4 linked regions of the Arabidopsis thaliana genome follow. The protein of the gene in region 4 interacts with the protein of the main gene of each other region in a pairwise test. Each region holds a gene or a part of one and is shown on either strand. Other genes may lie near its edges. The genes, in order: AT3G48510, ZW9, CRK28 and NAC3.

The links.
Region 1: the proteins of NAC3 (region 4) and AT3G48510 interact in a two-hybrid assay, tested with the Arabidopsis thaliana proteins (one large-scale study listed by BioGRID).
Region 2: the proteins of NAC3 (region 4) and ZW9 interact in a two-hybrid assay, tested with the Arabidopsis thaliana proteins (one large-scale study listed by BioGRID).
Region 3: the proteins of NAC3 (region 4) and CRK28 interact in a two-hybrid assay, tested with the Arabidopsis thaliana proteins (one large-scale study listed by BioGRID).

Annotation. Positions count from the first base shown.
Region 1 is NC_003074.8:17,964,285-17,971,521, reverse strand, and holds AT3G48510 (AtIII18x5-like protein), read left to right. Parts: upstream 1-2,931; 5' UTR 2,932-3,069; coding exon 3,070-3,954; 3' UTR 3,955-4,168; downstream 4,169-7,237. Other genes in the region: PDE312 (Nucleic acid-binding, OB-fold-like protein), read right to left, coding at 6,114-6,531, 6,602-6,753, 6,991-7,041, 7,119-7,237.
Region 2 is NC_003070.9:21,611,303-21,619,613, forward strand, and holds ZW9 (TRAF-like family protein), read right to left. Parts: upstream 2,868-8,311; 5' UTR 2,788-2,867; coding exon 2,399-2,787; intron 2,184-2,398; coding exon 2,014-2,183; intron 1,921-2,013; coding exon 1,638-1,920; intron 1,550-1,637; coding exon 1,398-1,549; intron 1,289-1,397; coding exon 1,092-1,288; 3' UTR 501-1,091; downstream 1-500. Other genes in the region: AT1G58265 (Cytochrome P450 superfamily protein), read left to right, coding at 1-86.
Region 3 is NC_003075.7:11,396,559-11,405,151, forward strand, and holds CRK28 (cysteine-rich RLK (RECEPTOR-like protein kinase) 28), read right to left. Parts: upstream 5,152-8,593; coding exon 4,311-5,151; intron 4,244-4,310; coding exon 4,067-4,243; intron 4,028-4,066; coding exon of another isoform or gene 4,016-4,027; coding exon 3,903-4,015; intron 3,819-3,902; coding exon 3,608-3,818; coding exon of another isoform or gene 3,524-3,607; coding exon 3,280-3,523; coding exon of another isoform or gene 3,279-3,279; exon of another isoform or gene 3,211-3,278; coding exon 3,054-3,210; intron 2,969-3,053; coding exon 2,660-2,968; downstream 1-2,659. Other genes in the region: B120 (S-locus lectin protein kinase family protein), read right to left, coding at 1-916; CRK29 (cysteine-rich RLK (RECEPTOR-like protein kinase) 29), read right to left, coding at 5,905-6,213, 6,305-6,461, 6,536-6,779, 6,859-7,069, 7,154-7,308, 7,396-7,524, 7,633-8,467.
Region 4 is NC_003074.8:5,230,714-5,238,291, forward strand, and holds NAC3 (NAC domain containing protein 3), read left to right. Parts: upstream 1-3,743; 5' UTR 3,744-4,017; coding exon 4,018-4,198; intron 4,199-4,291; coding exon 4,292-4,560; intron 4,561-4,665; coding exon 4,666-5,169; 3' UTR 5,170-5,483; downstream 5,484-7,578. UniProt on the Arabidopsis thaliana protein: Transcription factors that bind specifically to the 5'-CATGTG-3' motif.

The sequences.
Region 1 (7,237 bases), about 13 Mb from region 4:
ACCCAAAAACAAATCTAGTGATGTTGAAAACACATACCATTTCCAATAAGAAGTCATCTTGATCAGTCCATGCTGTTTATCTCAAAGCAGAAGCAATGCAACTATTGATCGTGAATGCAAATATATATGGTCCACGACTCATATTTGAATGAAATGTTAATTCCACATATTAAACCGTACGAAATGATATTATTATTTTATTTTTTAAAGATATTAAAATCTTTTTGAACTACAATTCCAAATGTTGATTCCAAAACTCCACTGAAAAAAACAATTAAGATCATTCTAGCTAACCATATTAAACCTAATGATATTTAATTTTGTTTTTCCGAGTTTTGTAGTTCACAAACTAACAAGATTTCAAAAACTTCAAGAAAAATTGGAAAACCAAAGTGTGGACGGAGTTACCAACTCTAAAACCTGATATTTATAAGAAAACATGCTAACATAATCATAATTATAATGACTTATACCAAATTAGATTTGAATATTTGACTACTGATGTCTTAGTCGAAAAAAAGATTGTGGTTCTAGAGTGAAAACACTTCCAGCGATAAATGTGCTGTACTTAAAACATATAAAAAAGTGATGAGTACTTTATGCTTAGTATAACTGGTTTTGGTTAATTTCATTTGATTAAATAAACAAATAAAGTTAACTACTAATAGTTTATGTGATGATTATTATAAACATATTCTTAGCAAAAAAAAAAAAAAAGATTATTATAAACATAAGCTAATGAATTGTCTTAACGTGTCCTTTTGCGTGTTCTCATGCAAAGTTCACAACACGGACCACTCGTAATACTTTCTAGATTCCCTCGCACCTTCGAACACTACTATCCCAAATCTAAGATTAAATAGTTTTTTACAAGATTTGTTTGGTTAGAACTCTAGTCTAAGTTTAAGATTTGGGAATTTTGTTTATTAACTCACTCTCAGATTTGAACCTAAGTTATGAAACGACAACAAATATTACGAACCAAAACTATAAATTCTGACTGGTTTATATTCACTCATTTTATCATTCATAAACCAAGGGATTAAATGAACCTTTTTTATGACATATAGAAATTAATTTTTTTTAATGATTTTTTATTTTTCATTCTACATAAAATTTATTTAATACAATTCCGTTATTCTATAATACAGTCAATCGTATTATCTAAATATTACTTAACATCCAAATTATTTTAGACTAAACTGTTGGTGCATATGATTTTGGTTTGAACTCCTTTTTTTCGTTTTTTTCACTGAAAGATAGATTATAGATAGAGTTTTACAAAGCTAAAGCTGGCGATTAACAAGATAATCCTAGAAACTAAGCCGACGGATAACAAAAAATCTTTGGAGACTAAGATTTTGGTTTGAACTCTTATGAGATGTTTATTATTCTACCCAAAAAAATAGACTTCAAACAGATTGAATAATGTCTTTTTGAGAATGTTTTTAGCTCATCAGAAATTTAAAATGGTTTGGACAGTAATATGTATCTGACGCATATAGAAGATTGAAACTAATTACCATCTCTTGAGAAAACAAAGTTACACAATCAAACTCTTTGTTTGGCATAGGTCCACTGGCCTAAATTTTTTCTTTGTTCCCATTTGCAAAAATTAGATTCGAACTCGTAAAACATATATATCAAGTCGCTAATAGCCATTAAACTCATTTACTGGTCAAACTATAACTGTTATTTGTCAAATCCGTTATTGTTTGAATATGTCTATCCTCAAAAGAAGATCTCGAAGCAGAAGCTCAAGTAAAATTTATATATGTATTATGAATGTATCCAAGTTTTGTCCATAAGAATTCCTCTAATATTAATAGCTAAATTAAGGAAACACCTATAAACCAGATATAGATGATTATACTTGTTATAATCATTTACTATAGATAGGTACAATAGGAGTATATTTGATTAATCAATATTCCTTCTTGATATTTCAATAACGATTACCTAACTCCATTGGCACTAATCTTTATTTTTGTCACCAAATCTTTAAGTTCATTTACGCATGAGATCATCTTGTCCCCTTTCAGATCTAATTTGTCACAATCACTTTAAATTTAATTAAGATGCCATTCGCTTTAAATTTAGACTTGGTCAATGATTATAATTATAATCGATCGACTCATCACCTTTTGAGTCGTGTGACTCGTGCGTATAAAAACCATTTTTGTTGTCAGATATTTTAACTTGATTTTGCCATCTCTTCACTATTGTTACATCAGTAAATCGCTTCGTAAGTGGAGATTAATTTGCAAATTTTGGAACTAATTACTGACCAGTGATCCACTCTATATATGGTTGTATTAGTACTTGATTGGCAAATAACAAAAAAAAAACTTAAATAAAAAAACTGTGTTATTCTTAAATTTATAGTATATGGATTAGTTTTAAGAGTGTGGTTGGGAAATATACGAAAGTCCAAGAATCTTATTAGTTCGTTCACAATTGTATAGGGATGTTGTCACTAATTTTAACCAAATTATACCTTTTTATCTTTTTGCCTAACATTTTTTTGACGTTGCCCCAAAACGAAGCAATGAGTTGAGGGTTAGTGGTAAAAATAATCAAAAAGATTATATGCATAGATTTATGTGAAGTTAACCAAAAAAAAAACTCGACCCAAAATACATAATCTTCAACAAGAACTATGTTTTCTTCTTGCAACAAGAACTATCACTCCTGTCATAGCATAGACCAAACTTTTTTTTCTCCTACACTAATATATAAAGTTACAGTTCTTTTTACTGAACGGTAAAATTAATGGTTAGAGTTGGGAGAATAACTTAGGCAAAAAAACAAAAAGAGAGAATAACTTTCCATGTGCAACCCAAACCCTTTACTACTGTCTTCTAGACCCAACACAACCACAAGCGTGCAGGCAAAGACACGTGTCCATGTCACAACTAGTATAGACTCCAACACGTGTCCAGATCACAGACGTTATAAAACCCTTACCATTTCTGTTCAGTGTATTCCTCAGCTCAAGTAAAGCTTTTACCTAATTCTCAAACATTCTTTACACAAAAATATCAAGAGTGATATAGATAGCGAGAAAAAATGGACGGTAGGGGAGGGTGTTGCATAGCTAGGTACGCCATTGGCTCTGGACCGTACGATCTTTCCAAAGCAGATCGCATCATGCTTCGATTTCGTCCCATTGCTCCTAAACCGGCCAGCCCCGGCGGAGTAAATCCCGTATCCAGCGGAGATAGCGGCGGCGGAAGCTCCGACGTTTCCTTTAGATCAGCTAGTAGAAGAAAGAGGAAATGTCATCAGCTGAAGGAGAATGGTGGTAACGCCAAGAGGTGCACCCGGCGGAAGACGTCGGATAAACCCGTCGTTCACGGCAGTGCTAATGCGGTGACTCTTTCTCTATTACCGGAGAAACCTATAGATCTTAAGGCGGCGGTGGAGAAGCAGAAGCGGCAGGGTCCGTTATGGTTGAGTTTCAAAGACGGCGGAGGGATGCTCACACCGGCTTATCAGACACCGGAGATTGTGCAGAGGACGGTGGTGATTTCGTCGTGTATGACGGTGGAGCGTGTAACGGACGCTTGGATTGACGGTTACGGTTTAGGGAGGTCAGATGAAGAAAGGAAGATGAATCTTGTGAGAGACACGTGTCCTGGTTTCATATCCGACGGTTCAGGGAGAGTCACGTGGACTAATGACGCGTATCGGAAGATGGCTAGGGATATTATTCCCGTGGAAGAAGGTGCACCGGAGATAACTAGCGGCGATAGTTTTCACGTGATCGTACGGTTGGTGATGAGGGAGAGGCCGATGCTAACGTCCCCTGGATTCACATGCAGAATGAAACTCCAGTACACGTGTCAAAATCGTGAGAGAGGCTCAGTCACGGTGCCTTGCGACGTGTGGAGAATGGACGTCGGTGGTGGTTTTGCTTGGAGGCTCGACGTTAAGGCCGCTTTGTGCCTTTGACACCGTTAGATCAACTTTAGTCACTATGGGCACGAACATTACACATGATATGTCCTCCAATGATAAAATATGGATTCAGAACTAATTAGATTTCTAATGGTTTAACATATATTTATGTCGTTTTTGTTCTTATGCCTTCTTTGTTTTTGGTTGTTTTTTAAATAGTTTTTTATTTAAGAATTTTTGTAAAAAATGCATCTTTCTTTTGTTTGTTCTTGACGCATTTGTGATGCTAAATTTCAAGCTTGTTGCTTAAAAATAATTAATGAAGGAAAATTTTGTAAGTATTTAATGCGTATCGTCGGTGCGGTTCCCACCTATATTGGACGCATGTTGTGAGATTTCACGGCAAGGACGGTTGGAAATTACGGTCCGAGTGATCGTCCAAACATGCAAATTCCAAAATGGTCCAAAAAATGTGAAACATACCATCTTGATTGCTACAAAAAAGTGTGAGCGAACCGGTCTTACTTTGAGCTAGTTACTCACTTGAAGAGATATTTCAGTCGAACTCATCACATTTTGATTTTGATATTTTCTTTTCTTTTGTCGGCACTCACGTTTTGAGGAAACAAGGAATATAAGAAAGTAAACGACCCAATAAACGTGATACGTCGGAGCAAAAGAAAACAAAAAAGGAGGGTGAGGAATAAATGTTGTACTACAGCTTTGAATGTACTACAGTCTACCTGCGGTAAAAGTGCGATATCTAATGATACGTGGGACATCTATATATCATCTATGCCATAATAGAAATGCCACATGGACCAATGTTTAACTATGTGTAGCTGTGTTTTTGGAACTTAAACATCAGTTCCATTTTTTGACAAAAAAAGAAGAAGACGTCAGATTCAAAACATTCAAATCAACGGTGTGTACCAAATTCCAAATCGTTAAGTTAATGAGAAACTGATTTTACCATCTCCGGATAAGAAATAGCGCTACAAGACTAAAATCAAAGACATTGTATGATACTATAATCGAGTTTTTAAGGGTCAAATGAATAGTGTTTAGCCGGGGACTTTTCTTTTATAAATTGTTTTTTAGAATCTTTTTGAATTTATTTTTCGTTATATATAATCAAATTAATCAAAACATAAATAAATTAAGAGTTTTAAATAGCAATACAAGTCTACCTACATTGGACATAAATTGTATAATAATTTAGTTAAGAATTTTAAGGAGACTTTTCTTTTGTAAATTGTTTGTTAGAATCTTTTAGTATTACTTAATCTTCCGTTACTATTGTTAATGACCTAACTGATCAGAAGCGGAGTACTGAGACGTTGCAAACACCATCCTTAAACCGTAAACAATATGTATGAAGATTGTTTTTGGTTGTATAAAATAAAACAAGTCAACGGACGATTTAAACAGAATAATAAAATTGGGCCGAAGCTTATTAGCCTTTTAAGGCCCACAAAGAAGAGCGAAAACCCTTAACGAGCATATACAACTCGGAGCACCTCTTTTCTCTCGCTCTCTTCCTCTTCAAGGTTTATATTTATAACTTCTTTTGCTGCTCTCAACGAACTCTTCCAGGCTAATAAACCGTCTCTGTTTTCATCTTCTCCGTAGCTGAGATAGCTCCATACCCTCTCCGACCCAAGTAAACTGATTTTCCATGTTATGGAGATTTGGTTCTCTAACTTATTGCTTTAGAGTTTTGATGTCATTGTACAAGTTTAATGCTATTATTTTTGTGAATTAGGTACAACCTTGCAGAGTAGCTTTGGTAAGAGTTTGCCTTAAGAGTTTTGTCATCAAAGAGCACACATGGTGTGAAGTTTTTGGTATACACGGAGAGATGACAAGGGTTTTTGATATTCCAGGTACGAACGAGAAAGCCTTTTGATAGAAGTTGATGTTTTGGAGCCCAAACAGAAGAAACAAGAGAAACATTTAGGCGTATTTTGCGGTGTCAAGACTACCTTCTCTGACGACGATTGATAGAAAAAACAAAAAACGTCACGTTCCTAACGTTCAACGGTGTACTACAAGATCCCAAACGTCTGGCTAAGTTAATAAGAAACTGATTTTACTATCTCCGGGATAAGAAGAAATGAAAAAAAAAAACTATCAAATAGATCAAACCTAACAGACAAAAATTCAAATAAATCAACCTCGACAATTTCTTATTTTTACTTTCCTTTTAAACATCAGTCTGTCAAGACTTGAGTACCGTTAACAAGAGGTTGCTGTTCCGAGTAACCGATACTGCTCTCATCACTCAGAATGCTATAGTCAAAATCGTCAAAATCATCGTCATCCTCTTCTTCTTCCTCTGACTCTGTTTCTTCTTCTTGACTCGCCAAGGTAGACCCTTCTTTTCTTTTCTCTATTGTCTGCTTAATCGCATCATCGTAAGACATGTCATACCACACATTGCCTTTCCCAACAATGGATTTGTTGTGTGCATCCTTCATTCTCTCTTGCTTGCTAATCTCTGAGTTCTTTGGCTCTCCCCAGTAGTCATACTGATATAATGCACTTGTTGGATCGTACTGGTCTTTCCCAAAGAAGCTTCCTGGCTTGTACCTCCCTGGTTCCTCCAATGGTAAACCAAGTGCTTGCCGACTGCAAAATAAATCTTCTTCATCTAAACACTTTCTTTGAAAAACATCAAAGTGAACTTTTTTTTACTTACGAGCTGATATCTCTGAGCAATGCTTCTCTTTCCTCCAAAGATCGGCGCCAGTGTAAGAAATCATACTCGTCCATCTCTATATTTCGTCTGAGCTTGTCAATTTTGTATCCTTCTCCTCTTGCTTTAGCTTCCATCATTAGTTTATTGTGGTGCTGCACAAGACAACAGGAGAGTATTGAGTTATTAACCACTATCAGTATAAAAGATTCATACAACAATGTGTCAATTACAAAGTGCAAAGCCTTAAAATGGAACTGTGACGACAATCGGAGTTACCAAGACAGTGTGAAGTGGAAATCTATTAAAAATAAACAAATACAAACGAGAATATTTCCGTAGCAGTGGGTTAAAGGAAATTGGTGACGACAAGTAGGGAAGAGAATTTAAACCTGGCGCTCGGTCAATGCAGCCTCTAAGTCAAGTTCCTTGACACTGGTTTTCTGCCAGAAATAGAACACATTTAATCACAAAGCTTAAGACAGTATGGTTTCACGAACACACCAGAAGAAACTCTCACCAGAATCACTTTTGGCAATTTGGTTTTCTTATAATAAGCTTCGCCATACTCGATATCCTTTTGTTCATCAAAGTCTTCATCATCAGATAATTCTGATAGCTTTTTGCCTTCGTATTTTG
Region 2 (8,311 bases), on a different chromosome or scaffold from region 4:
AATTCAGATCAAGAATTTTTAGAAAATGTTTGGGTGACAAATCATCAAGTGATATAATCTTGTTAAGTACTATTTATGTTTTTTAAGGGAATTTTGCCAATTGTGCCATATTTGTATAAATATTTTGTCGGCAATGCTATTTTTTATATCTTTAAAATTGTGCAATGAGTCAGCTTTTGACAAAGGAGAAGATGTCTAAACTACCTTTAATTGGTTATGGAGGGAAACAAAACATTTCGCCCAATGAGGCTGACACCTCTGCCAAAAGCAGTTGACGTCTAGATAAGATGATGGTGTGGCGTGGCACATTAAATGTGGACAGAAAGAAAGTTATGATGGTTGTTATACAATAAAAATGGTTGCTTTTAATACAATAATAATTTATCACTTGATGATTTGTCACCCAAACATGTAGGAGTCGACGAGAAACGAAGAAAGATGGATGTAGATAATGTATCGGAGAAGGGATGATGGACAACAATACTGTAGTTGTAGCAGTCGACGAGAAACGAAGTAAACAAAATACAGATGTCCACGAAGATGGAACCGTGGACAAGTTTTTAGTAGCAGTTCATGTTCCTAGTATATCTAACAAATCTTCAAAAGTACAGTAGTTGAAGCCGAGGACGGGAACATAAATGAAAAGTGAACAAAAAGTTTAAGCGCAGTAGACAACTGTACAACTACAAGCAATAGAGAGGAATCGATGTAGATAATGTTTATGGAGAAGAACAACATTGTAGTAATTGTATTAGTGGACGAAAAACGAAGTGAAAAGAATAATCAATTACTAAGGACAAAACTACAATTATTGAAGCCGTAGACGATCGACTAAACGATTAAGAAGTGGACAATTATAAAAGGAAATGTGAATGGATTACGTACCCAATCTTTAAATCCAAAAAAAAAAAAAAACATCCTAGGGACTGCCTCTTTCATCCTATCCAATTTGGTATTCAATATGTGAAATCAGATTGATCAAGTTTGACATAGGAAAGCTCGAACTCATTATTATTGAACAGAAACAAAAAACACAATGAAGCAAAGTGATAGTAGCCAGTTGTAAAATTACACTAGCGACGATTAGTCACCTAAGTACTATCTCCCGTTAAAACATTAAGAGACGATTGATGAGAGTAGTAGTCGGTTTTCGAGAAGGACAAGATCTGGACTTCAAGTTTGAGAGTATCGTTGACTAGGAAACCTTTTGATGTGTTTTTGATATCTGCAAATGATAGAAACCTGTCGAAACCCCATCCATTCTCCGTTGCATTGGGCCATGCCGCCACTGTGTATATAGGAAGAAATCAAAAGTTATTTTTATTTTTTAAAGGCTCATTAATTATAATTAATTAGCTTTAAATTAGTAGTAGTAGTTGACAAAGTAGATATCAAACCTTTTTTCTCGAAATTGTTGGATTGGATCTGGTCAATAACTCGTAACTTAGCTTCCACATAACCCTTATCATTTGACTGATCACTCAACAAATAGAGTGACAACGAATTACCCGTAGCATTTCCAACTCCATTTGGATACACTTTCAATGCCCTTCAATGTAAAAAACCATCATATTATTAAACTAACACATCTTGTACGTATTGTTATATATATACAAGAGGAAGAAAGTCACACGTACCAGTTTCTTCCTCCGGAAGAAAAGGAATCAGAAGTGTAAGAGTCAAGAAAACGTGTAGAGAATTTGGTGAGTCTCCATTCGAAAATAGGGTCACGAATGTTTTGTTCATTAGAGAACACTTCCCAATTTTCAAAGGGTTTAACAATGTTGATGTCAACGCCAAACACAACGCTTTCGCCCTCGAAAAAGTATCCATATGCCGGATTTTCAAAATAGTAAATTGGTAGAAATTGTAAAAGTCCCCACTGTTGTTTAAACAAATGAAATCGCTGGGCCTCAGTCTCTGCAAACGGATCAAACTTAAATAACTAGTCTGAACAAACCACAAAAGATTTAAACATATATATTTACTTGCTCTAGATTAGTTAATTAGTACCCTGGCTTATTTGGTACTTGTCTGTACTGCTTTTATAAGCGAGGAATGTGATCTCTGCATACACATCTTTTGGATTGGTGATGAGGCTTGAGTTATCGACTCTTACGTAAATCGAAACGTACCCACCCGAGTCCGTTGGAATGTATATGACTGGGTAGATTAGGAGCGTCCTTATAACATTTTAAGTAGAAATATGTCAAATTATATACAAATTAAAATTTGGGTGAGATTCAGAGCAATAAGTTAAAATCTTTCACATAGAAAGTGGAGATGATCAAAACACTAGTATATAAATGAATACCCTTTGACAAAAAAAAATGTATATCTTCTATGTATAAGGTATGGTTTCTCAACATTTTTGAAATGGAAGTCAACGCGTACGTACCAATTGTATCCACCGACGGAGAAAGGACGTGACTCATACTTGCCACCGTTTTCTTTGACCTGCTTTGCCATAGTGACAAAAGACTGGAACTTCACGCAGTACGAATTTGGAGGACGAGTTCTCGTATCTGTTGTTACTGCTTGCGAGAGCTTCTGTTCATCATGAGCACGAACAGAGGCAGAGCTAGGTTTTGACGAGCCACACGGAAGATTCCCTGAGTTCCCCACCGCCATGAAACCTTCTTCTACTACTGCTTCCGTCTCAATTAGGTTTTGAAGGTTGATATAAGGTTTTGCGAATCTTGCAACCTCCACAATGAGTACGAAACAGAAGAAGCAGTAGACAAAGATTGAACCATAATTTCTGCTTTTCTTTTCCTCTGAATACATTATTTCTTTTTCTATATTTTGTGTTTGTAATAATGTCTTGTTTTATGTACGTATATATAGGCATAATGATAATATGTGTCACGAGATTCACGTTTATTAGTGATTAGTTCTCAGTAATACACCAATCTCATGAGATCGTTAGTTCTCAGTAATACACCAATCTCATGAGATCGTGACACGTAGGTATTCACTAATTAATTAGCACGTTCTACGACATATTGTTTTGTTGGGATATACGTGTCTCACAAAATAGTAATTGTTTTCTGCTGCATCATTATTTTAACTTATAAGTACAAGAGCAAGTCATAGTGGACAACTTCGTGTTACGCACGTCTCAAAGCAGCTTAAAAAACCCATTGATGAGATCTCGATTCGTACCAACTACCAGACACGATTCATACTCATTAATGTTACTAGAGATTTGATTTTTCAACAAAACAAAAAAATAATAGATATTATCTGAATTTAACAGATTATAGTTTTTTTTTCCTTTATTTCACTATCAGTCTCTGTGTACACTATGGTTGTTATTTTTTATTGAATGAACGTGAAACACCATTTTCAAGTTCATCGACAGAGAGATTCGGAACAAGACAAAGGAAGCATTTCGGAAACCACATACAACTTTGGATTAGATGAATTCACTGTTGTGTCTTCTTTGTTTATTTGTTACCTTTGTCTTTATTCTTTTTTGGCAACGCTTCTCCCGGGCCGGCTCTGAAAGAAGCAACATGAAACATTTGTATGTTGTCTCCATTTTTAAAAACTTTTTTTTACAGCAAACCTGATTTATAAATAGGCTTCCAAATATATTTAGTTCTAAGAAAAATATATCCAAATTTCAAAACAGTTTATAATAACCCCAAATATATAATTTGTTACTTTGGCCCCCAAATTTTGACCGGTCATAGGTCTCTCAACCCCTATATACATTATACATCATGTAATTCCAAAACTATTATATATATATATACACACTATTTCATTAATATTTACATTTATATATAATAATAATAATAAAAACCATGACAAAGCATCAACCCTTACCATATCCATAAAATATATTACTCTTGCGATTACCTAATGACATCTATATGACCCTATCGATTTAATTGCCAGCGCGGTATAACAGTGACACCAATAATTCACACTACCAATTCAAAATCAATTCCCGATAAATAAATAATTGAAACCAAAATATTTCAATACTAGATTTTAACCCGCGGTACACCGCGGGGACAATTTATATTTTAAAGTTAATATATATAAAATTTTGCAAATTGTATCTATCTATAAAATATTTTTATTTTATAATTTACAATTGTTATTAAGTAACGTTCTGCCAAACCCGTCACGCCAAACCCGTCCCGTAAAAAAACCATTATTTTATTAATGTTAATCTTATTTATGATATGTTTATGAATTATTGTCTAAATATTTTAGTCGATGTGGGACGTTGAACTCAAACATTTTTCGCCAATTGGTTAATATATGTTTATTTTTAAAATTTCGAATCACAAATTATGGCGGAAAGAATAGAGATTTTTTTAAACTTTATATATTATATAATGATGTTAAAAAATTATGATATATTAAACTTTTTATAATTTTAAATATTAATAATGTTTTATAAATTTAAAATATTTAAATAATTATATTTATTTATTTTATATTTTGAGCCTTTAAGGTAATGACATAATAACTCTAAAAGCAAGGATTTAGAAGATTTAAATCTTTAATTAAATATTTTCATTCCTAAATAATTAATGTCAGTGTCATGAGATTGTAAATAAGTTCAAATACATGATTTATTTATTTAAACAAAAAATGTTTAGTAAGAATAATATTTGTTTTAACAAAAAACTTTGTTTTAAAATATTGTTAACAAATATGTTTATGCTAATTTTAAGGGTTAAATTTGATTGATAATGTGGTTGACAATTTAAATCAAGTAAAATTAATTATTTTGGAGAAAAGATTTAATGCTAATGGCATTGAGTTGTAAATAAGTCCAAATTCAGGATTTATTTGTTAAAATGGCTGCAAAAATGTATATGTAGATTTTTTGAAAGAAGTGATTGAAAGAATATTTGCTGCAATGAAAGACTACCAAATCGACAATAAGAACAGGTAGCATTAGGCATGATTCATCAGGAGCAAATTTTTGCTTTACAAAAACTAAAATCTCTAAAGCAAAACTCAAACAAGAAAGAAGTTAAAACCCAAAAAAAAGGGGAAGTAAACCTGGTACTAAAATATATTAAAATGGAACATAATAATTTTTTTAAAAAAGACTCATAAACTCTAAAACTGCAACTCACAATTTAGGGATTAATTATGGGATTGACACAATTAAGTTTATATCTTTATGAAAACAGACATATCTCATATGCCTTATAGATTTAAGTATTTTTCTATGCAAGTATTTTACGAGTTTACCCTTACCACTGAACCTACAATGGTGATTGAGCTCCTGCAACAACAACGATTTTGACAACGGTAAGAAGCAACGGCGGTGACTCATGAATCATGTCTCGTGATGAAAAAGACGGCAAGATCTCGACCTCCAATTAGCGTTGGCGACGATGGTGAGTTTCAACGACGATGGTGAGTTGAGCGATAGTGAGAAGCGAAGGTGATAGTTTGGATCTCTAGAATTACTTTTCCAAATCCTCTGTTATTAGTTGGTGACGATGATGATGAACTCTATTGACAATAAAAATCAAATTTGGTTTAGAATTAATAATGAATTGGAGTGTTTAAGATTAGAACCCAAGGGTTCCCTAGATAGTATCCCTTTAGGGTTTAGATTTCTTCAATCAAAAATCATTTATTTTGATTGATTGGGTTAATCAGAATAGACATGTTGGCTGGAAAATTTTGTTGAAGACGATGGTGTTGTTAATAACACTATGAATCGTCAAAATCGATGTCTGGACAATGGTGTTGAAGACGATGGTGTTGAAGACGAAGGGCAAAAGCGTCATATTTGTTGCAAACATATGCCCAAACCTATAAGCCCATTCTAAATGTTCCTTTTTTCTAATTATTGGGCCAAAATGTTCCTATTTTTACAAAAGCCCCCACAATTCAATCCAAGAAAACTCCCACATACCTTCCCATCAAAGTAGTAGACGCCGGAGCTGCACAAAGAGGAAAGTCAATTTTTTCATATCCAAACAAAGTATCAGTGTTCAATTTATACCTAACAGTTTTCTCTTTACTAATATATATCTAACGTTTTAAATAATTTAAGTTCCAATACATGAATTTATCCAATCATGCAAAATCATACATCATTGATGACATGAATGTCATGTCCTTGATAACGTTGGTGACGTGGATGTCACGGTTTTGATGACATTGTTACCACGTCATCATCTTGTTAATAATAATAAAAATTCTTATTCTTTCCATCACTGTTGTCCGACAGAATTATGAAAATAATATTCTTTTTGATGAAAGGATTTAAAATCTTATTTTCGAGATTTATAACCAATATTTCAACCAAATATAATATTTAAACCAAGTTTGGAAATCTAAAATTCACCTCTTCTTCTAAAAATCTTTGATCCACAGCCTTGAGAACCAACATCCAAACAAAATCCAAGGATCGGCTGATCCACAGAATGCCCAAACCCGAGCTCCAAAACAAATATCAAAGTGCCACACTATTTAACTGACCAAGGCAAGAGGAAAAAACCTGAAACTCCGACAAGGTGATACTCTAGTAAGACTAACATCTAGAAAATGGAGCCGTTCGAAAACCTAGCTTCATCCATCTATAAACAAAAGGTTGACCATCTTTCTTAAGATAAGAACTGAATATCAATCCTAATGCATCGTATTGAGACCAATCCGGCCCTACTCCAAAACATGCACAGAGGAAGGCTAGTAGATACCTCTTCACCTAATACCATCTCATAAACGCATCCTAATAACGAACATGGGAACAAACCCTCAACAATTCTTCTGATCAATCCACTCCGACTGAACTGATAAACACACCCAAGAACATGATAACAAAAAAGCTAACTCCAAGACAGAGGTATGTATAAGTATCGTAACAAATATGCATTTAAACAAAAAAAAATATATATATATATATAACAAACTGCATAATAAATGCAATATTAACTATATCAATGCACCAAAAAATAAATGCAATGGTTATTCTATTTACTATAAATTTCTTTTTACATCTTTTTAATTTAGTGTAACTTAAGAATTTGAAAGATTTTAACCTTTTTTCTCACTCCTTTTTCATTTGAATTTTCTATAATTACTTTTTGATTTTTTGAATTTTGATCTATTTGTTTGTTCTTCTCTAGTGAAGATAGAGACTCTACGACCACTAGTTAATGACAACAACCAAACCAAACCATACCATATGAGCTTTGTTGCCTCATATCCAGCTACCTATATAGCAACTAGTCGTAACAATTAGATATCAAAATTTTTAATCAGCGATTTTCCGAGCAATTCGTTTTAAAATATTGATTAAAAATTATAAAGTGCAGAAATGAAAATTATGATCCTTGATGTGGTATAGAACAACATAATAAATTAATTGTGATTAATTTCTCGTCTCTTATGTTGCAACTTAAGTCATTCTGCTTCCCGTATGTTGCTACTTTCCTTTTTGTCACTTCGTATTAATTAAACAATGATTGCGAGAGATGGATGTTTGCATTGGAGAGTGAATCATGGATAGCTTCAAACAATGTCATTTATAGAGCCCAAGAAGATTCTTCTTTGTGATAATTGCGATCAATTATGCACAATCATGAGGCCATATGAGGTGTAAGCTTTGTGTTATTTGTAAGAGACTCTCTCGTAAATTTCAAAACCGGAGCCTCTTGTTTCAATTTACTACCGGCTCCTCCTTTTGCGATATGGCAGCCGAGAGAAGTCTCTTCCCCATGAACTATTGTTGGCATAATCAAGCTCCACGAATTTTTCAGGGTCATATGCATTCACCTTTACGTTCGTAATGAGCAGGGTCATATGCAATCACCTTTATATCAAACTTGCTGACAAAACCCGACCCTAATAGCTTGCTATGACGAGGACGTGATGTTTTGCTACATTTTCTATAGATGTTACAACACTTGTGTTTTAACCAATCATTCCCTCAAGGTCATACCGTTTTCATCTCACAAAGTGATAGTTAGTGTTTTATTATCATATTGTCAGTTTTTATTATGATTGACCAAGAACATCTGAACATGTAGCCTCATGCTTGTTGGGGTCTAGATCGTGTGCCTATTCAAGCTGATGGTGATGGAGGGACATGGTAGAGAACGGCGTCATAGAGGAAGACGTTCTCGTGTGGTGAGATATCTCGTTCATAGTCATTTTGTTTTAAGGTTCTCCCAAATCTTAAAACGTTTTACTCAACATTTACAACCACATGTCGAGCTAGACTTATAACTACGCCTTGGAGCTGGTCCTCCTTGCCAGCCTTACCAAGCTGGAGGTTAACATTGCTGGAATCAACAATAGCTTTTATTTAGTGGCGGGG
Region 3 (8,593 bases), on a different chromosome or scaffold from region 4:
CACAACGATTATACTGATCACACTCACTATCTGGCTCAGACTGAAACTTAGTCCACTTCTTCAAAGTCTCATTCCATCTCAATTCCTCTTCGGTTCCATTATAAAGAACCTTAAACCTAAGTAACACTGATGGATCTGAAGGAACATACGTGAAGTACACGCTACCTGTTTCATCTGGAGGAGATGAAAGCTTGAATCCGTAAAGATAATTCGTCAACAGAGACATATTCGGAATCCCGGTAAAAATCGCAGAGTTCCATTGCCCGCTTCTCCATTTCCTCGTCTTGTTCCCTTCCCAAAGCACAATCTCTGGTGCTCCAGAGGGATCAACCCCTAATGAGTAATTACCAGGGGAAGGATCAGTCTCAGATCTCCATGAGACAAAAGCGTGATTGTCTCCGGTTTGTGGATTCACACGAACTCTCATCTGCGGTAAGAAGGTATCTGTTGGGTGATTGAAACTCTCCCAAATAGGTCTATCTGTGTCGGTTTCAGACAAAACAAAGTTCCCAGTGTCATGTATAGAAACGACTCTGTTGTTGTTGTTGGTAGTGCTTGACTCGATGTTTGAAGACCAGACAGTGATGTTCTTCCCGTCTAATAACACGAGATTACCATCGTTGCTTATCATGAGAACTCCAGATTGGTCTGAAATTGGAGTTGCTCTGTTTGCTACCCATACCACAGCTTTATCCTCGATGTTCCCATACCAAATCCCTAGGAAACGATGCGTAGAGCTTCCAGGACTGAAGAAACCTAGCTCGAATGTCTTTTGTGGAGAGACTAAAGGTTTGTGATTGATTCCGTCTCTTAAAGATTCGCCTCTTCTGATTGTATTTGCAGCCATGGAAGATTCATAAAGAAAGAAGTATAAGAAGAGAGAAAGATAAAGTGAGGTTTTGCGGAAGAATCTCATTTTCTTGGGGTTTAGTGTTGGAGAAGAAGACACAAGTGAGGATCTTCGTAATAAAGGATTGGTTTTTGAGGTTTGCTTAAAGATGAAAGAAGAGAAACAGAGGAACTGTGTCTGTCACAATGGCGGAAACTTCCTATTGATAAAAAAGTAAGAGGAGAGGTGACAAAGGAGAAGGGATACAAAAAGGAAAGGTTGCTGTTTTATTGCTGTTGAGAAGTTTCTATATTTTTGTCTCGTCAGGTTGGAAAGTTGGACCAGAGAATTGAAATAAAAAGGTCAAACTGTTTGAATTATTATCATCTTTATAAGGTATTATTATTATTGTCTTTTAATTCTTTTTTGTCATCTACTTTTTTTGTTCTTTTTCAAGATTATACAACCTGCATAGAAATATGTGATTGGTGGCTGACCTAATTGTTTTGAAACTTTTTCTTACATCTCTAAGAGGATTTTGGACGGTGTCAGTTGACACATGATGGATTAGATACTTTAGCGGTTCAATTTTTATTAAGAAAGAAAGTTAGGTTTTCAAGTTACATGATTTAGTAAAAATTATATTACAATTATATAGTTTCCATTGATTAGAAACGTATATTAATACAATGACTTAGGACGATCCAACCATTCATATCTTGTATGGACTACTTCTGACGTCCTTAGTTCATAGTCAATGTTTAAGAGTGATGAGGATTTATCAAATGGTTGATGATAATAAGAACAATGAGAAGGTAATAGTATATTCCTATTGTATAAGGCCATCGAAGAAAATGTATAAGCTATAGGTGTGGTTACCAAATTTGAAAATAAATAAGTATGTCAGGCAATTAGTGGAGCAGTTGGCTTTGTATACTAGTTTAGTGGAATATTTGCTTAGTTATATAATACTTAGATTAGATATGCTTGTTGCCTTTGGCCGCCACATTGACTCATATGGTCAAAGTATCGCACACTTGATTTGGATGGGTCTTCTCTTTATTTTATTGCACGTGACATATTTTACGTATCTTGATATTTCAAATTGTATTCCTTCAAAGTTTAAATGTTGTTTGCTCGCCTAAAATCCCATAATAACCCTACAATTATTTAGTAATCTTTTTTTTGCATGACGCTTAAGTATTTATATCTAATATCGATGCAGCCAAACCTCAAGTGGATTGCACTAGCAAGTGGCACTAAAGCATATATTGATACTCATACAATGCCAGATCGATTCTGGAGTTTACATTATTGATTCATTTGGTGGATTAGTTGATTACAAGTGAAAATTTACAAATGTATTAGTTTAACTGAGAGAATGTGGCTACTAGGCAACAAAACCTAATAAAGAAACAAACACCCATCTCCATCTAAAAATGCTCCAAGGGTCCACAATGCTTAGTCATGAATTCTATAGCTACATTATTAGGAGTTAAGATAAAGAAAACTGTATTTAACATTGATTTGTTGCTTTTGAAAAGACCAATGTGTATGCATTTCATGTGTAGGATAAAGTAGAAAGCTTTTCTTAGTAAAAGTCTAATACTATTTTCATTTTCTTAAGTTAAATTTCATGTTATATGTTTTAAAACACAGTAAAATCGAATTTGCAAAACAAATCTACCATTAACGACGAATGTGTAGAACTAAAAGAAAAAGCTATAACTTCTACTCGTTTCAAAAGCTAGATGAAGCCAAGCTGTCTAAAAAATCACACAAACAAAATCCATCATTGAAGAAACTAAAAAGATATGCAGATTAAGCTTCCTAACGAGGAGATAACTCAGAAACAGTGACATCATTCAAGGACATTAATAACGGTTCTGTGGAAGAAGAAACATTCATCGAAGGCATGACACTCTCTAACGCAAAGGCGGGCCTTGAAGGCGTTGGGAGAGTATAGGAATAGCTATTGAGCATTAGAGCAACCGAATCCATAGTTGGTCTACTCGCTGGACTTTCTTGAACACATAAAAGACCAATGTGTATGCATCTCAAGATCTCGCTTCTTGATCCCGTGGTTAGACTCGGATCAATAACGCTTAGTATAATGTCTTCTCTCCAACATCTCCACACCTGAGAAACAAACAGAATTACAAATTCAGTTAACATGATGAATCAAACTCAAACCTCAATTACCTGGTTGGTTTTGTGTACTTACCCAACTAAGGAGATTTTCTGCCTCTTCGTCATCATTTGATCGACCATTATTGTTTCCCTTACCCGTAATGATCTCTATGACTAATACACCGAAGCTGAAAACGTCTGTTTTCACCGAGAATTGACCGTAAATAGCGTATTCTGGAGCCATATACCCGCTACAAGATGAATAACGGGTTTATACCGGTGTTTCTTGGTTAATGAGTTAGTAAGATGAAGTAACTTACTAAGTTCCTGCAATTTTGCTTGTAAATCGATGTGTCGAAGTTTGGTCTGTGTCATAGAGTTTAGCTAATCCAAAATCTGCGATTTTCGGATTCATTTCTTGGTCCAAAAGAATGTTGCTAGCTTTAAGATCACGGTGAATTATCCGGTAACGAGAGTCTTCATGAAGATAAAGAAGTCCTCTAGCAACTCCACCTATCATTTTGTATCGCACTCCCCAATCCAAAAGTTGACGCTTTTTAAGATCTGTAACAGCGTAAAGATCAACACAGAGCAGAAAAAACAGAACGGTAGGATCATCATATGGAGAAAACGGCGGAAAACAATTACCGAAGATGAAATTGTCAAGACTAGCGTTCTTGATGAACTCATAGACAAGGATTCGTTCTTGTCCTTCTATGCAAAAACCTAATAGCCTAACCAAGTTCCTATGTTGAAGCTTTGCAAGAAGTAAAATTTCGTTCTTGAATTCACTGTCTCCTTGTCCTGAAGTACACGATAATCTTTTCACCGCGATTTCTTGCCCACCCGAGAACACACCCTAAGAAATGCATCATCCTTAGCTTATAAATCTAACCAAGGGAAACCAAAGTTACCGTTAAGAAGTTTTCTCAAAGAAACATACCTTATAAACTGAGCCAAACCCACCACGTCCAAGTTCATTTTCTGGTGAAAAGTTATCTGTTGCTGCCTTTAGAGTTTCAAAGTCAACTACCAACGAATCTGAGAACTCATCCTCTGCATTTGATCCTGACAATGAACATAGTTCTCAGGATAAATAGTTTATACTTTGTAACAAGATAACGATAACCAAAAGAAGAAGGTTGTGTTTGTTACCTTTGACTCTACCTACAGACTTGTTCTTCTTCCACTTCAAGAGCAAGCATAGGCAAATTGCAAATAACGCAACAAAAACTATTGGGATGACTATCGCAACAATGACTTTAGATCCACCTTTGCCCTTTCCTGAAATGAAACATTCAATCTTAGAGACAACTGCTGCAACAGTACAAATTCAAATATTTCTATGCACCTGTTCTCTCAGTTCTTGCAGCTGATGTTGGGGAGTCAGCAGGCTGAATAGCAGGTGGATCAGGCTCTAGATCGGCATCGAACTCGTAGAATCGCCAGGTCTCAAATCTGTAGCTACAACTAGGAAAAAACCACCTAAGACCAACCTGACCAGCACAACAACCTGGGATCTTTTCAAAACCAAAGACTAGACAGTCATTACAATCCTGTTCAGACAAATCCGGCGTACAGTGTGCACTTCCGTAGAATTGCGGGTACCCTGCCACACCCGAACCGCTCCCTTGAGCGTATTTTCTATTTGGCCCACCAGCTGCAGCAATCCCTTTGAGTCTGTCCAATAGTTCTATCTGCAGACGATCAAACTCATCTCTGTTTGCTGATATATTTTTACCGGCTTGAAAAGACAGAGTTGGGGTCGTCTCTTTTCTTCCATAGATTATCATGTTCGAGTAACGAAACATACAGTGTGTGTACCACACAACAGCTTGATTTGTCAGTGGACACTGCTCGATGAGGTTTCTTGCAGCTATCTGAATGCAGCTGAGACAATCATCTCTTTTTACTTCTCTTCTACAAAGACCAATTGCATAAGCTCTTTCTCCAGATGAATCTCCAGAAGAGAGGTTGTAGAAGCCATAAGGTTTGGATGTGAGTGACGAGAGAGAGGAGACAAGGCCGTTGAGATTACCAGCGAAAGAGCTGTTGGCCGTGAAATTGCCTCCACTAGCTACACAGTTGAAACCTGGAGGAAACTCATATTTATCCTTCTGTGCTAAGCAGATAAATGGTACAATCTTTAGGACACAAGCAAAGAAGAAAAAGATAACTCTGACATGTTCCATGGACGCTTGAAGCTTTTTTCTTCTTCTGTAATCTATATGAGAAAACCCCAGAATGTAATAACGAGTCTAAAAATGGAAGAAGTCAATCTAACTTGACCTTGGAATTATTCAAAAGCAGTATGGTCTTTGAACTAAATCAATATCCAACAGCAGAAAGAACAAAACTTGTTGATCAATAACAATTATAAAACCCAGTAGCAAACACAAGTGGAGTCTTTATGAGGTTGTGGGGGTCCATGATGGTAGTAGATTCAAAGACTCACAATATGAAACTAACGACTTGGTGTGAAAACGTTATTTAAATTAGAAGTGTTCATTGCTCACTTCTTTCCCCACAAGTACCAGGAAAGAAAACTAAAGAGTTTGAATACTTTTCAAACCTACTAGAAAATATAAGACTAACTAGGAACCATCTAATTTCGTCTAAGCCATTTATTTTACAATTTCTTTTACTTCTGTAGATGATTAGTGGATCATCTTTCAACTCTCATATTTATATATGTGGACTCAATATAAATCTCTTATCCAATTTTCTAAACTTACTGACATATATATATACTTCTATCAAATTGTACCTTAAAACGAAATCAAGTAACGATAAACTGGAAGAAAAAAAATGAGACAAAGGAAAAAGTATCTCACAGCTTCACATTCATGTTTTATTCACAACAAGATCAAGCCAGGCTGCCTGAAAAATCACACAAACAAAACCCATTTCAAAGGTTTTCAGAGAAGAATCAAAACATTTACAGATTAACGAGGAGAAAACTCAGAAACAGTAACATCATTTGACGACATTTGTAACCCTTCCGTTGAAGAAGAAACATTTGAAGGTATGACGACACTCTCCAACACAAACGCAGGCCTCAAAGGCGTCGGGAGGGTAAAAGAATAGCTATTGAGCATGAGAGAAACCGTAGCCATTGTTGGTCTAGTCGCTGCACTTTCTTGCACACATAAAAGACCAATGTGTATGCATCTCAAGATCTCATTTCTTGATCCTGCGGTTAAACTCGGATCGATCACGCTTAGTATAGTGTCTTCTCTCCAGCTTCTCCACACCTGAAAAGAAAAACAGAATCACAAATTTTATCAACAAGATGACCAAAACTGAAACCCCATTTACTAGCTTGGTTTTGGATACTGTACTTACCCAACTAAGAAGATCTTCTGCATCTTCGTCACCATTCGATCCACCATTGTTGTTTCTTTTACCTGTAATGATCTCAATGACTAATACACCGAAGCTGAAAACATCTGTTTTCACAGAGAATTGTCCATGCATTGCGTATTCCGGAGCCATATATCCGCTTAAAATTGAAATGATAACTGGTTTATACTGGTGTTTCCTGGATTTATAAGTTAGTTAAATGAATTTACTTACTAAGTTCCTGCAATCCTGCTTGTGAATCGATGTGTCATGGTTTGGCCTGAGTCAAAGAGTTTAGCTAATCCAAAATCTGCGATTTTCGGATTCATTTCTTGGTCCAAAAGAATGTTGCTAGCTTTAAGATCACGATGAATTATCCGGAAACGAGAGTCTTCATGAAGATAAAGGAGTCCTCTAGCAATTCCTCCGATCATTTTGTACCGCACTACCCAATCCAAAAGTTGACGCTTCTCAGTATCTGCAACGGCGCAATGGTCAATGCAGAGCGGAAGAAGAATGGTAGGATCAGATCGAGTAAAAGCCGGAAAAAGATTTACCGAAGATAAATTGGTCAAGACTAGCGTTCTTGATGAACTCATAGACAAGGAGTCTTTCTTCTCCTTGTATGCAGAAACCTATAAGCCTGACCAAGTTCCTATGTTGAAGCTTTGCAAGTAGTAATATTTCGTTCTTGAACTCGTTGTCTCCTTGTCCAGAATTACCCGATAATCTCTTCACCGCGATTTCTTGCCCCTGAGGGAACACACCCTGAGATACATAATCCCAAGTTTATAAATCTCTCAAATAAATAAACCAAAGTTACCGGTAAGAAGTTTGTTCGAAGAAGCTTACCTTATAAACTGAACCAAACCCACCACGTCCAAGTTCGTTTTCTGAAGAAAAGTTATCTGTTGCTGTCTTTAGAGTCTCAAAATGAACTAAGAGTGATTCTGTGTTCGAGAACTCATCCTCGGCAATTGAACCCGACAAAGGTGATTTCCCAAGAACTGAATACGCAGATAGTATTTATCAGAACTAATAGTTAATCCATTAGTAACAAGATAACGATAACACGAAGAAGAACACTGTGTTACCTTTGTTTTTATATCCAGACTTGTTCTTCCTCCACTTCAAGACCAAGCATAGGCAAATTGCGAGTAACGCAACAAGAAGTATCGGGATGACTATCGCGATAATGACTTTAGATCCACCTTTGCCCTTTCCTGCAATAAAACATTCACTATCTTAATCTTAGAAACAAAAACATATTCTGCTAGGGACAACATCTGCAGTAGCACACACGAGAGAAACATTCAAACATTTCTATGTACCTGTCCTCTCAGTTCTTGCAGCTGATTGTGGTGAATCAGCAGGCTGAATTGCAGGTGGATCTGGCTCTAGGTCGGCATCAAACTCGTAGAATCTCCACGTCTCAAACCGGAAGTTACAACTAGGAGAAAACCACCGAAGACCAATCTCAGCATCACAACAACTCGGAATATTCTCAAACCCAAAAACTAAACAATCATTACAATCCTGTTCAGACAAATCTGGCGTACATTGCACAGTTCCATAGAATCTCCGGTACCCAGCCGAAGCTGAACCGTTTCCTTGAGCGTATTTCCTATTAGGCCCACCAGCAGCCGCAATTCCTTTGAGTCTGTCCAATAGTCCTCTCTGCAGACGCTCAAAGTCATCTCTGTTTGCTGATATCTCTTCACCAGCAATAAAAGCCTTAGTCGGGTTCGTTTCTTTTCTTCCGTAGATTGTCCTGTTTGAGTAACGAAACATACAGTGCGTGTACCATACAACAGCTTGTTTTGTCAGCGGACACTGCTTGGTGAGGTTTCTTGCAGCTGTCTGAATACAGCTGACACAATCATCTCTTTTGACTTCTCTTCTACACAGACCAATTGCATAAGCTCTTTCTCCAGATGAGTCTCCAGAAGAGAGGTTGTAGAAGCCATAAGCTTGGGATTTGAGTGAGGAGAGGGAGGAGACAAGGCGGTTGAGATTCCCGGCAAAAGTGCTGTTCGCCGTGAAGTTGCCACGATCAACACAGTTGAAATCTGGATCAAACTCATAGGAATCTACCTGAGCAAAGGCATGAAATGGAGCAAGCGTTAGGAAACAAGCAAAGAAGAAGATAACTCTGACATGTTCCATGAAAGCTTGAAGCTTTTTTTCTCTAATCTATGAGAAACCCACCAGTGTGTAATGAGTCTTTATATGGTAAATGTCGACCTAATTTGACCTTAAAAAAAAGCCGTGTGTTCTTTAAACTAGCTCACA
Region 4 (7,578 bases):
AAACGCAGCATATACAATTTTTGTTATATTTTCATAGTATACAGTATTTGATTATTTTCTAATTTTAATGTCAATAAATATCATTATTTTATTTATGCCTTCCTAGAATACTTCTCTCTTGATGCAAATTTTATAACAATGATGCCAAAACATCACATAACATTATAATGCTTTCAGTTTTGTAAATATGATTTTTGAAAATTTATGTTCATTAATGATATGTAACTTCTCACAATAAAAGTCTAATATCCTAATTTAGTTTTTTTTTTTTTAATGAATCATGATCTATAGTATTAAATATAAACATAAAAATATTTAGTTCAATATAAGTGAAAGATATCAAAGGAATATTTTGTAACAGAATTTATCTTTTTGGGTTTGTATTCTTACCCGTAGATTATTTCAATTTTTTATATAAAAAAAAAAAAAAATATGGGTGAAAAATTGATTCAAGAAACAGTTACCAAAGAATTTCATATTTTCACACCAGATTTGAGACTTATTTATCAGCGAATATAAATTGTTTCGTCGTGCTAAAAGTAAAATTATCTAATGTGAAAATGGTACATGTGAAACACCGTCGTGTGTAAAACAATTCGATGCTTGGAAATGGTACTCTCGCTAAATTTAGTGGGTCTCCAAAATTCCATGCGACGACTTAGTTATTTACATAACACTATGAATGGGCTATGCAGTATTTGTTGAGATTGAGATATAATCGTTTTTGCTCTCATTTCATCACATACTCAACTGAATTAGTTCATATGATACTACATCTAGAAGATTATTGGGTAGTTTTCGGTTCAGAATTGCATGAATTCAAGAGATTTAGGACTCCGTATCTGGTACAAGCTTAAATGAACCTATTTCAAACAATAAAAATTAGTGGGCCTGAAACTTTGTTGGGCTTAAAAAATCCTACATACTTTATCGGCTGTAGAAATATATCGATACCTAAACACTAAACAGACCAATATCAATAACAGACCTACTAAACGACTTTGTTCATGTTTAGCGTTTATAAAAAAAGTTAAAAATGTTGGCAACAACATCATCCGATCCATATACTCTTATCAGGAACGGAAAACAAAAAGGTCAATAACAAATAAAAAAATATAATTGGCCATAAGTAGTGAATAGTGATTAAATATGATTTATCCTACAATTATTCGTTAATAACTAACTAAAAATATATTTTCTTATACCAAAGAAAACTATACAAACTACTTAAATCAAACTTGTAAGATAAGATATAGTTGGATGAAGTGGGGGTTTGATCTACGATGGTCATCTTCATTGTTTGATTCCCCCTTTTTCGTTTCTATTCTATTTTAAGAATATGAAAAGACGTATAATATGCACAAGTTGGAGAGAATATTTATCAGCTTTTCAGAGTTTAGTATACTATATATGATCTTATCGAAATTTATACCTTTTCTATATATATATATATATATTAAATCGAAACTTTCTTTGTTATCAGTAGCTTAATGTTTAGAAATATTCTTATTATAGTGTTTGATTAAATATGTTTCTAGAATCGAAAAAAATAAAAAGAAATCATTATATTAAATTACGATAAAAAAAGAAAAATTAATTTAATAAAAAAGGGAAACATTATTTCATTTAACTAGCTAGTATTTTAACAAACAACTAAATAGTTGTAATTTATTGTCATAATATATATATTCTGAATAAGAAAAATCCACATATGTAGCAAATGTATTATACATGTGTATGACAAAAGTTTTACAAAATGGTTGAACTTAAAAAAAAAATATGTCTTAAACATACGTAAGACTACACGTAATATCAAAATTAACATGCTTAGACATAGTAATTATAAAGCTTTATGTAAAGCAAGACTGATTCTATTAATTAATTGATGGATCAACACTTTTAGCAATTGGGGATATTGTACTATTTACTGGATTATGCTTGTGGAGGGAGCTCATGGTGCTCCAGATTATCAAATTTTATATATGGTAGAAAAATAATTATACCATTACAATGTAAAGCATTCGAGTTCGAATTTCATTGGCGCACTTTGATTTTATATAGGAAGATTGAGGTTAAGTTGTAATAAGTGTGATATTCATATTATTATTGGAAGTTTATTGGTTTAGCCATATGGTTTATTCAGCAAACCATTAACTAAACTCACATGTCAAAAGTTGAAACTTATACCACCTTGATATCCACGTCATCAATTCTTAATACACTTTTGTATTTTGACCCAAATTTACGGGGTTACACGTTATGTAATTATGATATATGCATGACATACACGTTATGATATATGCATGACATCGCTAAAATAGCATAATGTTAATTAGTTATCTAAAACTAAAGACCTGTGTGTGGATATTATCTTCCAACATTAACAAAAAAATCCCGAAAAGGAGAAGAACAAAAGCTTTTAAAAAAACTTTGATCACCCCGTTCTATACCAATTGATGTATCTTTAATGGAAGAGAACCATTATAAATAGAAACGAATTAACACCAAATGCACCGTGACACGAAAGATATTGAGTGTAAGAAACCCCAAATTCCTTGTTATATTCGCTTAGAATTATTTTTACAGCACCATGTACATGTGATCACAAGATATCAATTAAAGTTAGCTAATTAACTTTATTTTTCATTTTTTGGGCTACTAGTTTGCTAATTAACTTTTTACCGAGAAAAAACTATCAGTAGAAAGCCAAAAAATTCAATGAATAAGAAAAAAAAAAAAAAAGCCTAAACTTACATACATATATGATATATCTACGATAAATTTGCTGATAAACGATCTGACTTCTAACTAAGATTCCTGTTTTACCTATTTTAAAAAAAAATCGAGAACCATGAATCAAAGCTCAACTATGTTAATCATGATTGAAATCACGTACGTTCTCGAATGCTTAAATAAATATGTTAATCAATAAACCGCCATAAATTGGTTAAATATAAATCTACTTGCAAGAAAATTGTAATTGAACTTTATTTTCAATTGGTAAAATGTTCCTTTTTCACGTACACAAAAAAGTGTTTGAAGAGAAGCGTGTTTGTGTTATACGGACTTACGAAAATCTTGTGTTCCCATTTCTCAACCACAAAAGCCTAATTTCTTGGTACCTCTGATTGTATACTATCGTTTCACAATTACAGTTTCATCTGATTTCAATCAAAAATTACAGTCTCATATGGATCAAATAGAAAAATAACGAGAGTCTGCATCATCAACTCGTGTTTGTTGTTTGTCCCTCTCTCTGATCTTTAACGGCTTTTGACGAAAGAAAAATATCCCGCCTAACTCAACCAATAGACACAAGACATGTGTCGGCTTGTGGTAGTTCTATCCGTATGAAAAACGCTTTCCATGTTACCATCCAGTGAACTCATCCCATCATTCACTTACACGTGTTTTTTCTTCTTGACGACCAAAAAAAAACAATTTGGCACATACCCATTAAAAAAAAAATACTTCTTATTTTTCATAATACTTTTCGTAGATTGTCACTGTTATGTAACTCATTCATAGAAATTTACCGCGTAAATTGCATGAAAAATCACTAGTCTTAAGAATCACCTAATTTGTTTTTCTGAACTTACAAATATTCGCAAATTACTTTCAGTTAACTCCCTAATACTTGGGAAGACCATTGACAATACAAAAAAAAAATCATAAGAGGAGGTACAGTCACACACACAATATTACAACATTACTAATATAAATAATCAACTTTATGGTATAGGTTCAAAGAACCAAAGGGATCGCATAAATCACGACGCTCTAATTGATCCACGTGTCATGATAAACATAAAGTGGGACCCGTATTGAGGCTGCACGTTAACGAAGATTGGGCGGCGGTGTAATATTATATTATATATATACATACACGAGTAGCAGAGCTTCGAAATCTTTAATCTCAGAATACAAAAAAGAAAATCAAAGAAGATAGTTTTGTGATTGTTTTCTATAAAAAGTGCAGATATTTTCTTTGTCCTAGAGAAAGAGGTGATAGGAAAAATGGGTCTCCAAGAGCTTGACCCGTTAGCCCAATTGAGCTTACCGCCGGGTTTTCGGTTTTATCCGACTGACGAAGAGCTGATGGTTGAATATCTCTGTAGAAAAGCCGCCGGTCACGACTTCTCTCTCCAGCTCATAGCTGAAATCGATCTCTACAAGTTTGATCCATGGGTTTTACCAAGTACGTATAACCTAATAACCTTAACCGTGTTTGGTTTCTTTGTAGCTAGTTATGTTTTTTTCTCTTCTAACTTGTCTTTTTGGTTCTTTGTAGGTAAGGCGTTATTCGGTGAAAAAGAATGGTATTTTTTCAGCCCGAGGGATAGGAAGTATCCAAACGGGTCAAGACCTAATCGGGTTGCCGGGTCGGGTTATTGGAAAGCCACCGGTACGGATAAAGTTATCTCGACGGAGGGAAGAAGAGTTGGTATCAAGAAAGCTTTGGTGTTTTACATTGGAAAAGCTCCAAAAGGAACCAAAACCAATTGGATTATGCATGAGTACCGTCTCATCGAACCCTCTCGTCGAAATGGAAGCACCAAGGTATAAATTTAGTTAAATACATGATGTATCCAAAAAGATAAGTATATAGTAATTGTAATTATACTGTTCAACGAATAACATATTTTAAACTGTTTTTATGTTCAGCTTGATGATTGGGTTTTATGTCGAATATACAAAAAGCAAACAAGCGCACAAAAACAAGCTTACAATAATCTAATGACGAGTGGTCGTGAATACAGCAACAATGGTTCGTCGACATCTTCTTCGTCTCATCAATACGACGACGTTCTCGAGTCGTTGCATGAGATTGACAACAGAAGTTTGGGGTTTGCCGCCGGTTCATCAAACGCGCTGCCTCATAGTCATAGACCGGTTTTAACCAATCATAAAACCGGGTTTCAGGGTTTAGCCAGGGAGCCAAGTTTTGATTGGGCGAATTTGATTGGACAGAACTCGGTCCCGGAACTCGGACTGAGTCATAACGTTCCGAGTATTCGTTACGGTGACGGTGGAACGCAGCAACAAACTGAGGGGATTCCTCGGTTTAATAATAACTCGGACGTCTCGGCTAATCAGGGTTTTAGTGTTGACCCGGTTAACGGATTTGGGTACTCGGGTCAACAATCTAGTGGGTTCGGGTTTATTTGATTGTGTAATGGTAACGTAATAAGAAAAACATATTTTTATTTTTTGTCCGTGTCAGATTAGTTAATTAATATAGCGTAGAATTCGAACTCTAGGGTTAGATTTAGGTTCTACGACTTGTATTGTATATTCGTCGTCATTTGTCCTGACATTTACATTTTTGTAAACTTTTATAGCTGGAACTTTTGTATTGATCAATTATTTATTAGAAAAACAGATATTGCATTGGATCTATAAGTTTTGTACTTGCTATTGCTAACGATAAACGATAGAAATGTGAAAGTTTCCTTATCATTCATGACACATTTTTGTGTCAACATCATGTAGTATTATCATTAACAACGAATCAGCGATTCATAATTTATTATATTAATCGCCATAATATATCGATAATCTAGGAACCATAAAGCGAATATGACTTTGCTCGCTATCGCTCATCGTTTAATATTAGTACCAGCTAAAACGAACAATAGATTTGTCATCATCTTTCGCTGATGACGGTAACCATATCATAGCGAACATGACCAAAAATGTATGTTTATCTGAGATGATTTCTAGCCTATAGCACTAGTATACTTTTGTAAAATATAAAAATACTATTTATATAAACACATGTGGCATAAAGAAATTTCGCACGCGATAGTTGTGTATATATTCATTTATGTGCAATGGCATTTGCAAGCCGTAAGGTTTGAAATAGTAATATTGTACAGCTGTTTAAAGAACGTTCAAAATTTGTTAGAGAAATTGATATATATATATTTAAAAGGATATGGATAAAGATGTTATATTGTTTAATGGGAAAAGGATAGTGATGGTATTAGATGGCCAAATCTTAAAGACCAATTGGGGTTTGAAGATAAGAACAGAGAACGGACCGTTTGGGGTTTCCTGAAATTGCACGTGTGAGTCAGCATGGGCTGCTTGTTTGACTAGTTTAGAATCATTTCTTTCCTAAAATAGTAACAATTCACACCGTACAAGTTTTAAACACATCTACGCTTTTTGTTCGTATAAGTAGATTTTCATAATCAAAATTTAAATAGATTTTATCTGATTAACTAATTAGATAAATGTTGTGAAAAATAATTTTTACACCGAAATTAGCTAGGGAGTTTTTCTTTCTAGTCTACATGAATATCCATTACATTGAAATTTAAAGAGTTTATGGAATTTAAAGAATTGGCTATAACTTACGTCTTATTATATTTATTTTCTAAATCACTTAAAACCCTAATAATCGAATTAAGAGAAATCATTGGGCGATTGTTAGTTACTTTTGTCAAACCAATTCTTTGTTCTCTTTGTTTACATTGAAATCTTTTGTCTTCTTAAATAATCCAAAAATAAAATAAATAAAAACACTGTCTTCTTCTTACAAAAACTTTTGGCTACTCAAACAACTTGCGAAACTATAATTTTCTTTCTGTATCTTAAAATCGCAGAAAAACGAGAGATGGAAATGAGTTTGTTAAATATATATTTTCGTTTAAAGTTTGATAATTAAGGTGGCTGGATGTGAAAATATTTCAATTTAAAAAGAAGAAAATATTAATGTTCTACATGTAAATTTTGTTGGACGAAGCTCTACGCAACCCCTTAGAATAGCATATTCTATCGTAAATACATGAAAACGAAGGTTTTGAGTTTAATACTTTGTAACCATTTTGCATAGAAATACTTGTGGTCCATATTCATCAAGATGTTATTGTACGCTAAAGTCTAAACAAATAACCATTCATTCGTCCATATGTGATTAATCAGTAAACGAATACAGGCGCGTACGCAATTACGCATGGCATGGGGTTTAGTGATGTATATTAGTACTTTATTTTTTGCCATGCATCTATTGTAAAAAGTCAAAACATGAAATTAATATAAATCATTTGTTTATATTTTGTTCTTACGCGTAATAACAAATGATTTATACAATAATTTATGATTTTTGGTAGTTTATAACTGGAAGATTCCAAACCAAAATCTAAATTAACGTGTTATTCAAAGAAATGAAAATTTGTCCATATGGTAATTAATGTTTTATATAGGACTTGAGTATGTGTTGGGCCATACGCAAAAAGTGGATTCAGTTAGGCCTATGTATTTCTTTAACAATGGGCCTGAGTATTGGAAACGCAAATTATATATGTATCCAATTATATTTTTGTTAAAGAACGCAAATTATCTTGATCGTGATTATTTTCGTACTGACCGAGACTTGAGAAATCAGACTATTTTCTTTGACAACTTATATTTTAAACAAAAATAAACGTACATAGATACAAAAAAATCCTTGAGTATAACCTTTTTTTTTTCCTTGACTACAACTTTAATGAAAAATAAATCTAAAAACTCAAAAGGCTGAACAAAATGAGATGATGATTATCAGGTACTGTGTATATAAGTGCATAATAT